Macaca fascicularis: one gene and its partners. The protein of the gene in region 2 purifies or fractionates together with the protein of the main gene of each other region. This does not show direct contact. Links are inferred from orthologs where the notes say so. Each region holds a gene or a part of one and is shown on either strand. Other genes may lie near its edges.

What was found. Proteins that work in one complex are often made in the same cells at the same time.
Region 1: the proteins of TOM1 (region 2) and ZFYVE16 purify together in Homo sapiens (affinity purification with western blotting; 3 studies listed by BioGRID and IntAct, with this or other methods). This does not show direct contact. The link is inferred for Macaca fascicularis from reciprocal best matches to the Homo sapiens genes TOM1 and ZFYVE16.
Region 3: the proteins of TOM1 (region 2) and CLTC purify together in Homo sapiens (affinity purification with western blotting, with the first as the bait; 3 studies listed by BioGRID). This does not show direct contact. The link is inferred for Macaca fascicularis from reciprocal best matches to the Homo sapiens genes TOM1 and CLTC.

The regions. Positions count from the first base shown.
Region 1 is NC_088380.1:84,381,516-84,385,284, forward strand, and holds part of ZFYVE16 (zinc finger FYVE domain-containing protein 16), read left to right. Parts: intron 1-2,516; coding exon 2,517-2,678; intron 2,679-3,769.
Region 2 is NC_088384.1:16,368,366-16,372,632, forward strand, and holds the start of TOM1 (target of Myb1 membrane trafficking protein), read right to left. Parts: upstream 3,046-4,267; 5' UTR 3,011-3,045; coding exon 2,959-3,010; intron 1-2,958.
Region 3 is NC_088390.1:47,024,853-47,028,621, reverse strand, and holds part of CLTC (clathrin heavy chain 1), read left to right. Parts: coding exon 1-76; intron 77-273; coding exon 274-466; intron 467-907; coding exon 908-1,065; intron 1,066-1,265; coding exon 1,266-1,430; intron 1,431-1,542; coding exon 1,543-1,650; intron 1,651-1,728; coding exon 1,729-1,896; intron 1,897-2,020; coding exon 2,021-2,170; intron 2,171-2,258; coding exon 2,259-2,390; intron 2,391-2,508; coding exon 2,509-2,619; intron 2,620-3,694; coding exon 3,695-3,769. UniProt on the Homo sapiens protein: Clathrin is the major protein of the polyhedral coat of coated pits and vesicles. Two different adapter protein complexes link the clathrin lattice either to the plasma membrane or to the trans-Golgi network.

The DNA.
Region 1 (3,769 bases), on a different chromosome or scaffold from region 2:
TATGTACACTTCCCATTATTTCTTTGGCTCTCTAATTAGCTACAATTATTAGCAGTAGTCCTGGTGGTCTTTGAGTTCTCACAGGTTGTGTGTGTGGGGGGGTGTGTGTGTGTGTTGTGTTTTTTTCCCCAAGTCCATGTTTATTCTTTTGAGTACCACTTGGCATTTTCAAAGATTCGTTGACAGTTTAATTCCTGGCAAATATTACTTGGGCCTTTTTTGACCAGACCTGTGCACTACCTCAGGCACTGCTTCCTGTTAGCCAGGGGGAATGAATACCTGATAATAATTTGTTTTTCTCTTTTGAATGAAGATAACTTTTTTCAGCAATTCTTCAAAAAGCTCTGATGTGAGTCTGTTAGCCTGAGGTAAGCTGCTTTTCTCCCTGCTGTTGACCTCTGCTCTGGAAGATAACAAAGTGTAAATCTTTTTATGTTTCCATCTTACCGCCATTGTTTATGAAGAGGTCAGTTTAAGTGCTTATAGTTGTTTTGTTTTTTCTTATGCTGTTTCAGTAGCCTAGAAGATGACTGCTGGTGCTGTTAGCCAAGGCAATCTGCTAGAATTCAGAAATTTTAGAGCAAGCTCCCACATAATTATCTCCCCCATTAAAAAGAAATTAAACATCCATGAGGATTTGAAACGTTATTTATGTTGACAGGTCAGATTTTTGGGTGAGCATTCAGACATATTTTGACTCTAAGGGTCCAGGAGGGGAGAAGATATGATCATTAAAGAAATTCAGTAGAATACTGAAATCAAGCTTTGGTTTATCAAAGAAAATACTGTGGAATTAGTTTATTTAGTTATCTGTTTAAATTTATTCTATTTTGATATAGCATATAGTTTCATTTACGGTGCTATTTATTATTAATTTATATGCCACAGGAAAGCATAAATAAAAGTTAATATCAGCTTTAGGGTTGAAAATAATAGAAGTGATCATTTAAAATAATGATATCAAATGAGAAGAGAAAGATGGTTCATGGGTTGTGAGACACACTACGTGAAAGATTGGAAGAAAAAGATAATTTGAATAGAGATAGTAGATAATGAGAAAGCTGTCCTGAGATTATGTGAGTTTCAAGGAAGCGCACATGTGAATGTCAATAAGTAGATTTGAGGCAAGTTAGAAATTACTTTGAAATTGAGAGTAAGATGTTTGGACTTCACTTGGTTAATGGAAGCCATTTTATGAGTGCCATCATTCAGTGGCACTTGAGGAAGATTGTTTTAGCAGTGGCAACATTTATAGCAGATCAGTTTGGAGAAATGCTGAAGGGAGAGCTATCAATGTACCTTGTTTTTTGGATGAAGAATCACTCAGCAGTATTCAGGCACTATTCTGCATTCTGAAGCTCAAGCTGAGAGCAAAATAGAAGCCATATTCTCATGAAATTTATGAATGTATGTAGAGATGGATAGTAAACAAAAAGATATCAGATGGTGATACTACCTTCAATTAAAAAATTTTAAAAGTGTAAGAGTGATAGATAGTTAACAGATTAGTGGCAAAAGGAATTTTTTTTTTTGAGATGGAGTCTCACTCTGTCACTCAGGTTGGAGTATAATTGTGCGAACTTAGCTCTTTGCAGCCTCCATCTCCCAGGTTCAAGCAGTCCTCTCACCTCAGCCTCCCTAGTAGTTGGGACCACAGGCACACACTACCACGCCCAGCTGATTTTTTGTATTTGTGATAGAAATGGGGTTTCACCATGTTGCCCAGGCTGGTCTCAAAGCAATCCTGAGCTTAAGTGATCTACCCGCTTTAGCCTCCCAAAGTATTGGAATTATAAGCGTGAGCCACTGTGCCTGGCCTTAGGTAGTATTTTTTATAATGTGGTCAGAGTAAGGCTTTATGGTAATATGACATGTGAGCAGAGTCTTGAAGGAGGTGAGATAATAAAGCTGTGTGAGTATGAGAAGAACATTCTAGGCCAAGGGAATAATAGGAGCAAAGATTCTAAGCTGTAGGAGTACTTACTTGAAGAACAAGGAGGTCTGGGTGGCTGGACCATAGCGAGTGAGTGGCATTGTAGTGAGAGATGAGGTCAAACATGTAACTGGGAAAGTGGAGGAGGTAGGGATGAATTATGTTGGGTCTTGTGAGCCATTGTAACAACTTAAATTTTCACTTTAGTTAGCCATTAAAAGATTTTAAACAGAGGAATAATGAGATATGATTTATGTCTAAAAGAATCTCTCTAAACTGTGTTGGAAATAGACTCTAGGGGTACAAGGACGAAAACAGAGATAGTCATGTTAAATAAGGGTTATTCTCTGTGGATATCAAATATACACCTTAGATATAATATTGAAATAACTTATTGGTAGCTTATCAAAGTGGCATGCTGCCAACTCAGACAGTATCTTTGCCAAGTGCTACTTCTTTTTCTTGATTAGCCATTTCTTTCTTTCTCGTTACAACTTGAAAAATAGAATATTTATTGAAATTTACTTTGAAGTAAATTACAAAAACATCTGAGATTTTAACACTATTGTTTTCCCCTTTATAGCTCAGGCATTTGAAAGGATGATGAGTCCAACTGGTTCTAATCTTAAATCTAATCATTCCGACGAATGTACTATTGTCCAGCCTCCTCAGGAGAACCAGACGTCCAGTATACCTTCACCAACAACTTTGCCAGTCTCAGCACTTAAACAACCAAATGTTGAAGGTAATAGAAGAAAATGCTGTGTCTAAGACTAAAGATAAATTATCAAAATAGAAATTCTCTAATGTAGCCAGAAATTCTCTAATGTAGTCAGGAAAGAGAAACCAGATTAAATATCAAGAGGGATTTAATACAGGGAATTGGTTACACATGCAGGCTGGAAGACTGGAAGAGCAAAAAGGCTGTGCTCAAGTGCCTCAGCAATTAGTAACTGCAGGAAGCAACCACCACAACTGGAGTTTGGGGCTACAAAAGGGGAGAGGCTAGAGCTCAGTGTAGGAGCACCAGGAGGTGTTTGGATCGCAGATGTTGGAGTCAGAAGCCATGGTCACAGCACCATCAAGAGGCCTCATAGAGTTGGTGCTCAGATGACTAAAGTAGAGCTCCAGATTTGATGTTAGGAGTACTGAAAATCATGAGTCTAGCAGCTGTATCTAGCGGTGTTGCTGCTGCAAAGATCCTGGCAGGATCCAGAAACAAAGAATTCCTTCTCATTTCTTCCCACCTTATGGTCTCCCACCAGTGCCTGCTATTGGAAAAAGCTGACCAAAGCCAGTAACAAGAGTCTGGGAATTGCACTTTCCAGACTTCCAACCTGGCATCCAAGAGCCCAGTTTAGAGGGTGAGCTTGGGTTTGAGAGGCAATACGTAAATAATTGTTCTATCTCCTTTTCATTAAAAACCTATTTGTAGTTGTGTATTTTACCACAGTAATAATGTTTTTTAAATCTGTTTTTAAATCATTGAGTTATCTGCTCCTTTTTACAACCCGTCGTCAATTAGCATCTTGAGTAAGGCACATGTATGTCTTTAAATATGAATTATTAGTCTCTTACATGCTGGAAAAAAACCATAAATGTCAGATAAAGGCAAATTTGAATCCTTGTATTTTTGTGGACTTCAGTTTATTACTCAGTAACTGTTTTCCATTTATTATAATGAAATAAGGAGACTCAGCATTATATGGTTGTATATTATAGCCTAAAGATGAATAATTTGTGTTTGAAAATATGTGCATATTCTTATATTGATAACCCAAATGATTAAATTATAAAAATATTGCAAATACAAAAAAGATATGTTATTTAATATGT
Region 2 (4,267 bases):
CCTGCAGCAAGGAGGGGCCTGGTTTACAGAAGTATAAGCAGCTATACTATGTCATCAGTAATCACAGCCAGTGAGCAGTACTTCCTCCGCCTCTTTATCTAAAAGAACATGGGATACTGAGGGGATTAACTCAAACTCTTAATTCTACTTTTGGAGCCTCTTCAGCTTTGGTTTAAATTTCAATGGCTCAGTTTCGCTGTCAGTTCACGGTGGTCTTGGGTGAGTCACAGCCTCCACTTTCCCCTCTCTGGATCTCAGTCTCTGCCAGTGTGAAACGAAGGCGATGGGCTGGAACAGCATTAGCATTACCTGGGAACTTGCCAGAAATTCACATTCTAGGCTGGACGCGGTGGCTTATGCCTGTAATTCCAGCACTTTGGGAGGCTAAGGTGGGTGGATCACCTGAGGTCAGGAGTTTGAGACCAGCCTGGCCAACATGGAGAAACCCCGTCTCTATTAAAAATACAAAATTAGCTGGGTGTGATGGCGCATGCCTGTAATCCCAGCTACTTGGGAAGCTGAGGCAGGAGAATCGCTTGAACCCGGGAGGCGGAGGTTGCAGTGAACCAAGACTGTACCATTGCACTCCAGCCTGGGCAATGACAGCGAAACTCCGTCTCAAAAAAAAAGAAAAAAAAAAAAAAAAAAGATTTTCACATGCTAGAGTCCCACTGCAGACCTAGAGGGTCAGAAACTGGAGTTGGGGCCCAGATATCATTTGCTTTAACACGCCTTCCTAGGAATGCTGCTGAGAACCACTGGGTTAGAAAATTCCAAAGGCAAAGCTCTTTTAGCTGTAAAATTCTATTTGTGCTCTAAGGTATGATGATTTAATAGCATTCTCTTTGCACGGGAGTATTTCTTGCCCAAGAAAGGCAACCCTTCAGGGTAAGAAGAGAAGCTTGCTTTGACTAGCTGAAATCCAGAACCCAGGTGAGCTTTCCAGAAAGCCTTAAGAGTATGCGGCTGACTTTGAAGCCGGGTCTTTTATTTACTTGTTTATTTTTAAGTAGTAAGTCTTAAACTTGGCATGTGATAAAAGCAGTGGTTTCTGTAGTCAGAGAAATAAAGATGAGAGGAGAGCTGCTTTCTTTTCTCAGCTCCAAAAAACCATGACTCACTGTGGGGTGGGTGTGTCTAGGGGAGGTCGGGGGTCCTTTGAGAGGGCAGTTCCTCTCCCTGGTTCAGGAGCTTCCTGGTGTGTAAATCCTGGACTGCCACCTCCCCCCTTGGAGAGCACTGATTACAAAACCCTCGGAAGAGCCACCAACAGCCACGGTGGCGATTACAACACAGAGCCGGGTCGACAAGCTTTCGTGAGGTTTGGCAAGACAGTAAGAATGGAAAGAATGTCTCGTCTTAAAGTTTTCCCAGTATGGACTTAAGACCAAAAGTCATCATCAAAAAAGATAAAGAGTGATTTCACGGAAATGCGATGGTTTCTTCATGCAAGAATGGGGAACACCCAGACCATCCTCTGGAGAAGTGTGGCTGTTTGGGTCAAGGCATGTCGGTTCTCACGGTGTTGGTGTCCAAGAACGAGCACTTATGAGACCTACTGCCCAGTGATTTCCAGGGATTCCTAACCTTCACTTGGTGGTATCTCAGGAACAATGTGGGTGTGTAAATATATACATGTATGTATGTGTATGTATATGTACATGTATGTATGTGTATATTTATATATAATGTGGGTGTGTGTATGTATGTATTTCAAGAGATAGGATCTCCCTGCGTCGTCCAGGCTGGAGTACAGTGGCGCCATCAGGGCTCACGCAGCCCTGACCTCCCAGGTGCAACCAATCCTCCCAGCTCTGCCTACCGAGTGGCTGGGAGCACAGGCACACACCACCACGCCCGGCTAATTTCTGTATTTTTTTTTTTTTTTTGGTAGAGACGGGGGTCTCGCCATGTTGCCCAGGCTGGTCTCGAACTCCTGGGCTCAAGCGATCTGCCCGCCTTGGCTTCCCAAAGTGCTGGGATTACAGTCGGGAGCCACTGCGCCCAGCCCAATGCTAATAAATATCACAACTGTTTTTTTATATGGCACTGGCCACGTACCAGGCATTGTTCTAAGTATTTCACATTTATTAAGGAATTTAATTTTCACAACAAGCCCACGGAGGTAAGGACCATTATTACCCGCCAATTACAGGTGAGGAAACCTCCGCCCAGGGAGGCTGCGTCATAGAACTATAAGTATCCTGTCACCAGGGTGCAAAGAACCACGGACCAGCACTCAGGCGCCAGGTGCCCTGGGCTCGGCTTGGCTCGAGCGCCGGGCTGCCCCACCTACGGAGCACCGAGGTGGGCTGACCCGGAGGGTTTCTCCGACCACTTTCTGCTCAGGTTCTCAGAGTCTGTGCGGGTCCATTTGAGGCTGGGTCGAGATAAGAGCCCAGGCGGACACGTCCTGAGATCCGGGTCTGTGAGGCCTGGCCGCGGGCTGTCTGGCGCTGGGTCCCCTCTGGCCAGTCGCCCCCAAGACGCCAAGCCCCAGGCTTCGCGGTCCTGGGAGAATGGACTTCTAGCCCTTCTCAGGTGTCCATGTCCGGAGAGCCCGGAGAGCCAGAAAGGAGCTGGCCAAAGCCCAGCCGGCGGGACCCAGCACAGCGGCCCAGCCACTGCCAACCACGCAGTCCCTTTAACCCCGAAAACTTTCTCCCTCGATTCGGGACCCCAGCAGACACACATTGGCTGCGAGGTGGGCATCCGGACCCGCCCTCTCTCCTTATCTACTGGCTGTCGTATACATCTATCACAAGCCAAGGCTTCCTAATGGCCCAAGTTCTTGTCAATCAAGAGTGGGAGGAAAGCTGGGCGGGGCCAAGTCGGAGAGCTACACGCCAGCCTCATTGCCCTCCCTGCCTCAGTGACTAGGCACCCGGAGGCTTCCCAGGGGACCGAAGCTGGGTGCGGAGCACCGGGGCGGAGCTGTGGGGGGCTCCAGGGACTCACCGATGCGCTGTCCCACTGGAGAGCTGAACGGGTTCCCCAGGAGAAAGTCCATTGCTGCTACTGCCGCTGCCACCAACCCCGGGAATCAGCTGACAGCAACCGCCAGCGCCGCCAACCCGTCACGTGACGCACCCGAAGGCCGGCGAGGAGGCGTGGGCGGAGCGGTGGCAGAGCGGAGCTGGACCACAGGCCCCGCCCTGACGCGCCAGGGTCCCGCCCCCGAGGCGGAGGGCGATGACCTCATCGTCGCTTCCTAGGCGGCGGCGGGCGTCACGCACGACGTAGAGCCTGGGGGCGGGGCCCGGGAAGCGCGGTCCTCTTTAAGCCACGCCCCTGACCTTTTAGGGCGGGGTCTAAAGGACCCTTTACACATTTGGGAAACTGGGTCGTAGACCAGGGAAGTGACTTGGGTGAGATTACACAGAAGCCGAGACTCTTAGTGTCACAGACCTTAGTCCTTGGGACCTCACTGTGACTGCACACCTACTCTGGGTGACAGCCTCTCTGGGCTGCTGTCTCCTTGCCCCGATAGGACTCTTCCTGTTTGATGTCAAGGTCTCCCCGCTCCAAGATGCACCCTGCTTGCAGCCCAAATTATCTTACCTTCAATCAGAGGTAAGGGCAAGGGGTTTGTCATCTACTGAGACTGAGAAATAATTGAATGAATTGCAGCGCAATTCCCTCTAGCGCCCAGGATGGCAGAAAGCGTAGATGTAGTCACGAGTGGGGCTTTGATACCCATCTCTGCCATAAATTTACTGTGTGAGCCAAACACAGCTCCCATTTTCTCTAGATACTGGAATTAGATCAAGGACTCGTAAGCATTTTAAAAAAATATTTTATTTAGGTCACAGTCTCCTTGGAGAATTTGACAAAAGCCATGAGGCTTTCTGAAGAAAAAAAGCAGCGATAGAATTTTGCTTATAACCTCAGGGAGTTTCTGGCGTCCCTGAAGTACAACCGTGGACCCCAAGCTAAGAATCTCAAAGGCCTTTCCCAGCGTTGAGACTAATCTCTTCAGCCTTCCTGGCTGTGTGTGGTGTGTCTGCTGACCCCACACACTAGATAACCTATCTATGGGTTATGACCTTTTCTTCTGACATGTACTCCAAAAATACAATAACCATGGCCTTAGTAGTCTGGCTACTGTGGGTGCTTTAGTATTTATTGTAATGTTTGTGGTTTTTAAATCTGAAAGACTAGTAAATTGACTGCACAAATTTTGGATGATAGAAAACCTAAATTAAGCAAGGCGCGGTGGCTCACGCCTGTAATCCCAGTACTCTGGGAGGCCGAGGCGGGCAGATCA
Region 3 (3,769 bases), on a different chromosome or scaffold from region 2:
CGCCATCAGCAATGAGCTGTTTGAAGAAGCATTTGCCATTTTCCGGAAATTTGATGTCAATACTTCAGCAGTTCAGGTAAATCTTTAGATTACCTAAGTTGAATTACTAAATGTAATGTCTTCTACTCATTCAGTGTATGCACTGTCCTGTGAGGGTGGGCCTAATTTGTTCCTATGGCAATAGAAGAGCAATAAAATACTAACAGCTTAAATGTAATTGCTCTGGGTAGGATTGATTTTACTCTAACCCCAATTTCAAACTTGGGTACTTAGGTCTTAATTGAACATATTGGAAACTTGGATCGGGCATATGAGTTTGCTGAACGTTGCAATGAACCTGCGGTCTGGAGTCAACTTGCAAAAGCCCAGTTGCAGAAAGGAATGGTGAAAGAAGCCATTGATTCTTATATCAAAGCAGACGATCCTTCCTCCTACATGGAAGTTGTTCAGGCTGCCAATACTAGTGGTATGACTTCTTACCTTATGTATTGAGACCTCACAAAATGATTAAGCTAAGCATTAAGATATCTGTCTGTTCTGAATTGTAGAAGAGTTGGATACTGCATGGTTTCCTGTGAAAACTTTTAGTACTCCATCTTAGTCCAGATAAAAAGAGGCTGTATTTTGTGAATTTGTAAGTTCACAAAACTTACAAGTGGGGAAGATAAATTTTCTGTTTTTGAAGTCTCATAAAATCCTGATAATCCTCTAATCTTACAACTTTAAGGAAAAAGAGAATTCTTCTATTCATTTGGTCTTTGATAATACAGAAGTGAAATATTGCACAGTTTACATTTGTCATTATCCATGTTTCCTTGAAAAGGAAATGAGCAATTTTCATTTACTTGGGTGAAAGGTAAACTGGGATGTTAGTGTTTGGATATATTTTTTCTTTTTCTATACTTAGGAAACTGGGAAGAACTGGTGAAGTACTTGCAGATGGCCCGTAAGAAGGCTCGAGAGTCCTATGTGGAGACAGAATTGATATTTGCGCTGGCTAAAACAAACCGCCTTGCAGAGTTAGAAGAATTTATCAATGGACCAAATAATGCTCATATCCAACAAGTGGGTTTCCTTTTCAGATTTAAGAAAAACTAGTTGGGCTACTTGATTAGCTTGGTAGGATCAAAACATCATAACTGAAGAATTCCAAGGAAAAATCTACAGGAAAACAAATTATTTCTCAGTGTGAAGGTATGAATATGAAAAGAGGATTAAGCTCACACTAATATCTTACTGAATATGCGTTACCTTTTTTTTTCCAGGTTGGTGACCGTTGTTATGATGAAAAAATGTATGATGCTGCTAAGTTGTTGTACAATAATGTTTCCAATTTTGGACGTTTGGCATCTACCCTGGTTCACCTGGGTGAATATCAGGCAGCTGTTGATGGGGCTAGGAAAGCTAACAGTACTCGAACATGGAAAGAGGTAATCTAAACCCAAGTTTGAGTGAAGAATTAAAGAAACGCTCTGTAAACATTAGTTTAAACAACTAGCCATGTTTGCATTTGAGTTCACAGAAAGGAAATGTTTATTCTAGGTCTGCTTCGCCTGTGTAGATGGGAAAGAATTCCGTCTTGCTCAGATGTGTGGACTTCATATTGTTGTACACGCAGATGAATTAGAAGAACTTATCAACTACTATCAGGTAATTAACAAGAAACTTTTATATGACCTGAGATCTTTTACCATAGATACTCTTTAACTGCACATTTCTCTTGTTCAGGATCGTGGCTATTTTGAAGAGCTGATTACCATGTTGGAAGCAGCACTGGGACTTGAGCGAGCTCACATGGGAATGTTTACTGAATTAGCTATTCTATACTCTAAATTTAAGCCTCAGAAAATGAGGGAGCACCTGGAGCTGTTCTGGTCTAGAGTGAATATTCCCAAGGTAACCAGTCATTGTAACACAGTGAAGCAACTGTGTAGTTAAAACTAATACTTCAAAATATCTTATTCTTTTTAAGGCTGTTAGCTAGACTCATATCTAAAGCAATTAAGTCTTTCTTATGCAGGTGCTAAGAGCTGCAGAACAAGCTCATCTTTGGGCAGAACTGGTGTTTTTGTATGACAAGTATGAAGAATATGATAATGCCATAATTACCATGATGAATCATCCAACTGATGCCTGGAAAGAAGGGCAGTTCAAAGATATCATTACCAAGGTGTGTACTTTCTTCAGAAGATAAAGGATTCAGAAGGAGAAAGCTCATTAGGAAGTAACTGACTTATATATGGATTTTCCCATTATAGGTTGCCAATGTGGAACTATACTATAGAGCAATACAGTTCTATTTAGAATTCAAGCCTCTGTTGTTAAATGATTTGCTGATGGTGCTGTCTCCACGGTTGGATCACACTCGTGCAGTCAATTATTTCAGCAAGGTAAAGTAATAATTTTAAACCAAAGCTTCATAGCAAGGAATTAGGACATATTAGGATAACTTTTGTCCCTGGGACTTCAATAATGTGCTATATTTGTAACAAACTCTTTATTTTAAAGGTTAAACAGCTACCACTGGTGAAACCATATTTGCGTTCAGTTCAGAACCATAACAACAAATCTGTGAATGAATCATTAAACAACCTCTTTATTACAGAAGAAGATTATCAGGTAAAACCTTTTGATTCTTGCACATAATCTTAAGACTCATAAAGTTACATTTTCCCATTTTTCAAAAACGCCATTATCATTTAGGATTGTAAACAGTAGTTGCTTGCATTCCTAGGATCTAAATTTAGTAAGGTTTCAGGATTGATAAATCTTACTTCTAATTAAGTGCCAAGTTTTCAGAATTTTGCTCAGATCTTGTATAAGATACTGCTTTTGAAAAAAGATATGATTACTTTATCTCTAACATCTAGATTATAGGTAGAGTCAAAAATGTCTTTGATCACTTAACTAGTTCATAAAATTTATTTGATATTAACTATATTCACCATTTTTCTTTCCTACTGTTTTATTAGTATTTGTATAAACTTTATCTTACGAAGGATTTCGCATAAGCAAAAGTCAAGTAGAGTGAAGCTTAAGCTCCTTGCCTTTTTTTCTCTCTCTTGATTTTCTTTGAGGCTCCGTGCATGCAGATCTTACTGCTGCCATGCTGAGTTTTATCAGAAGTTTCTCTAGGGAATAAAATCTTGCCCTCCAGGCCAGGCGCGGTGGCTCACGCCTGTAATCCCAGCACTTTGGGAAGCCGAGGCGGGCAGATCATGATGTCAGGAGATCGAGACCATCCTGGCTACACAATGAAACCCCGTCTCTACTAAAATACAAAAAAAAATTAGCCGGGTGTGGTGGCACGTGCCTGTAGTCCCAGCTACCTGGCAGGCTGAGGCAGGAGAATCGCTTGAATGCTAGAGGCAGGTTGCAGTGAGCCATGATTGTGTCACCACTGCACTCCAGCCTGGGCAACAGAGGGAGACTCCATCTCAAAAAAAAAAAAAAACAAAACTTGCCCTCCAAATTAGAAATCTCGTCAGTTTCATAGCCGTATGTTAGTCCTTGATACTGAAATATCTTGGAGAAAATGTTATCTTTAGGTAAGGTGAAAAAACACCTTTTGATGCTTGAATCTAGGTGTCATACTACATGTTACCTACCATCTAAGGGGCTCATTGATCGAGGACGGAATATAATGTTAAACAAAATACTGATCTGGCATTTGGATGGCTTTTTTTTTTTTAAGGCTCTGCGAACATCAATAGATGCTTATGACAACTTTGACAATATCTCGCTTGCTCAGCGTTTGGAAAAACATGAA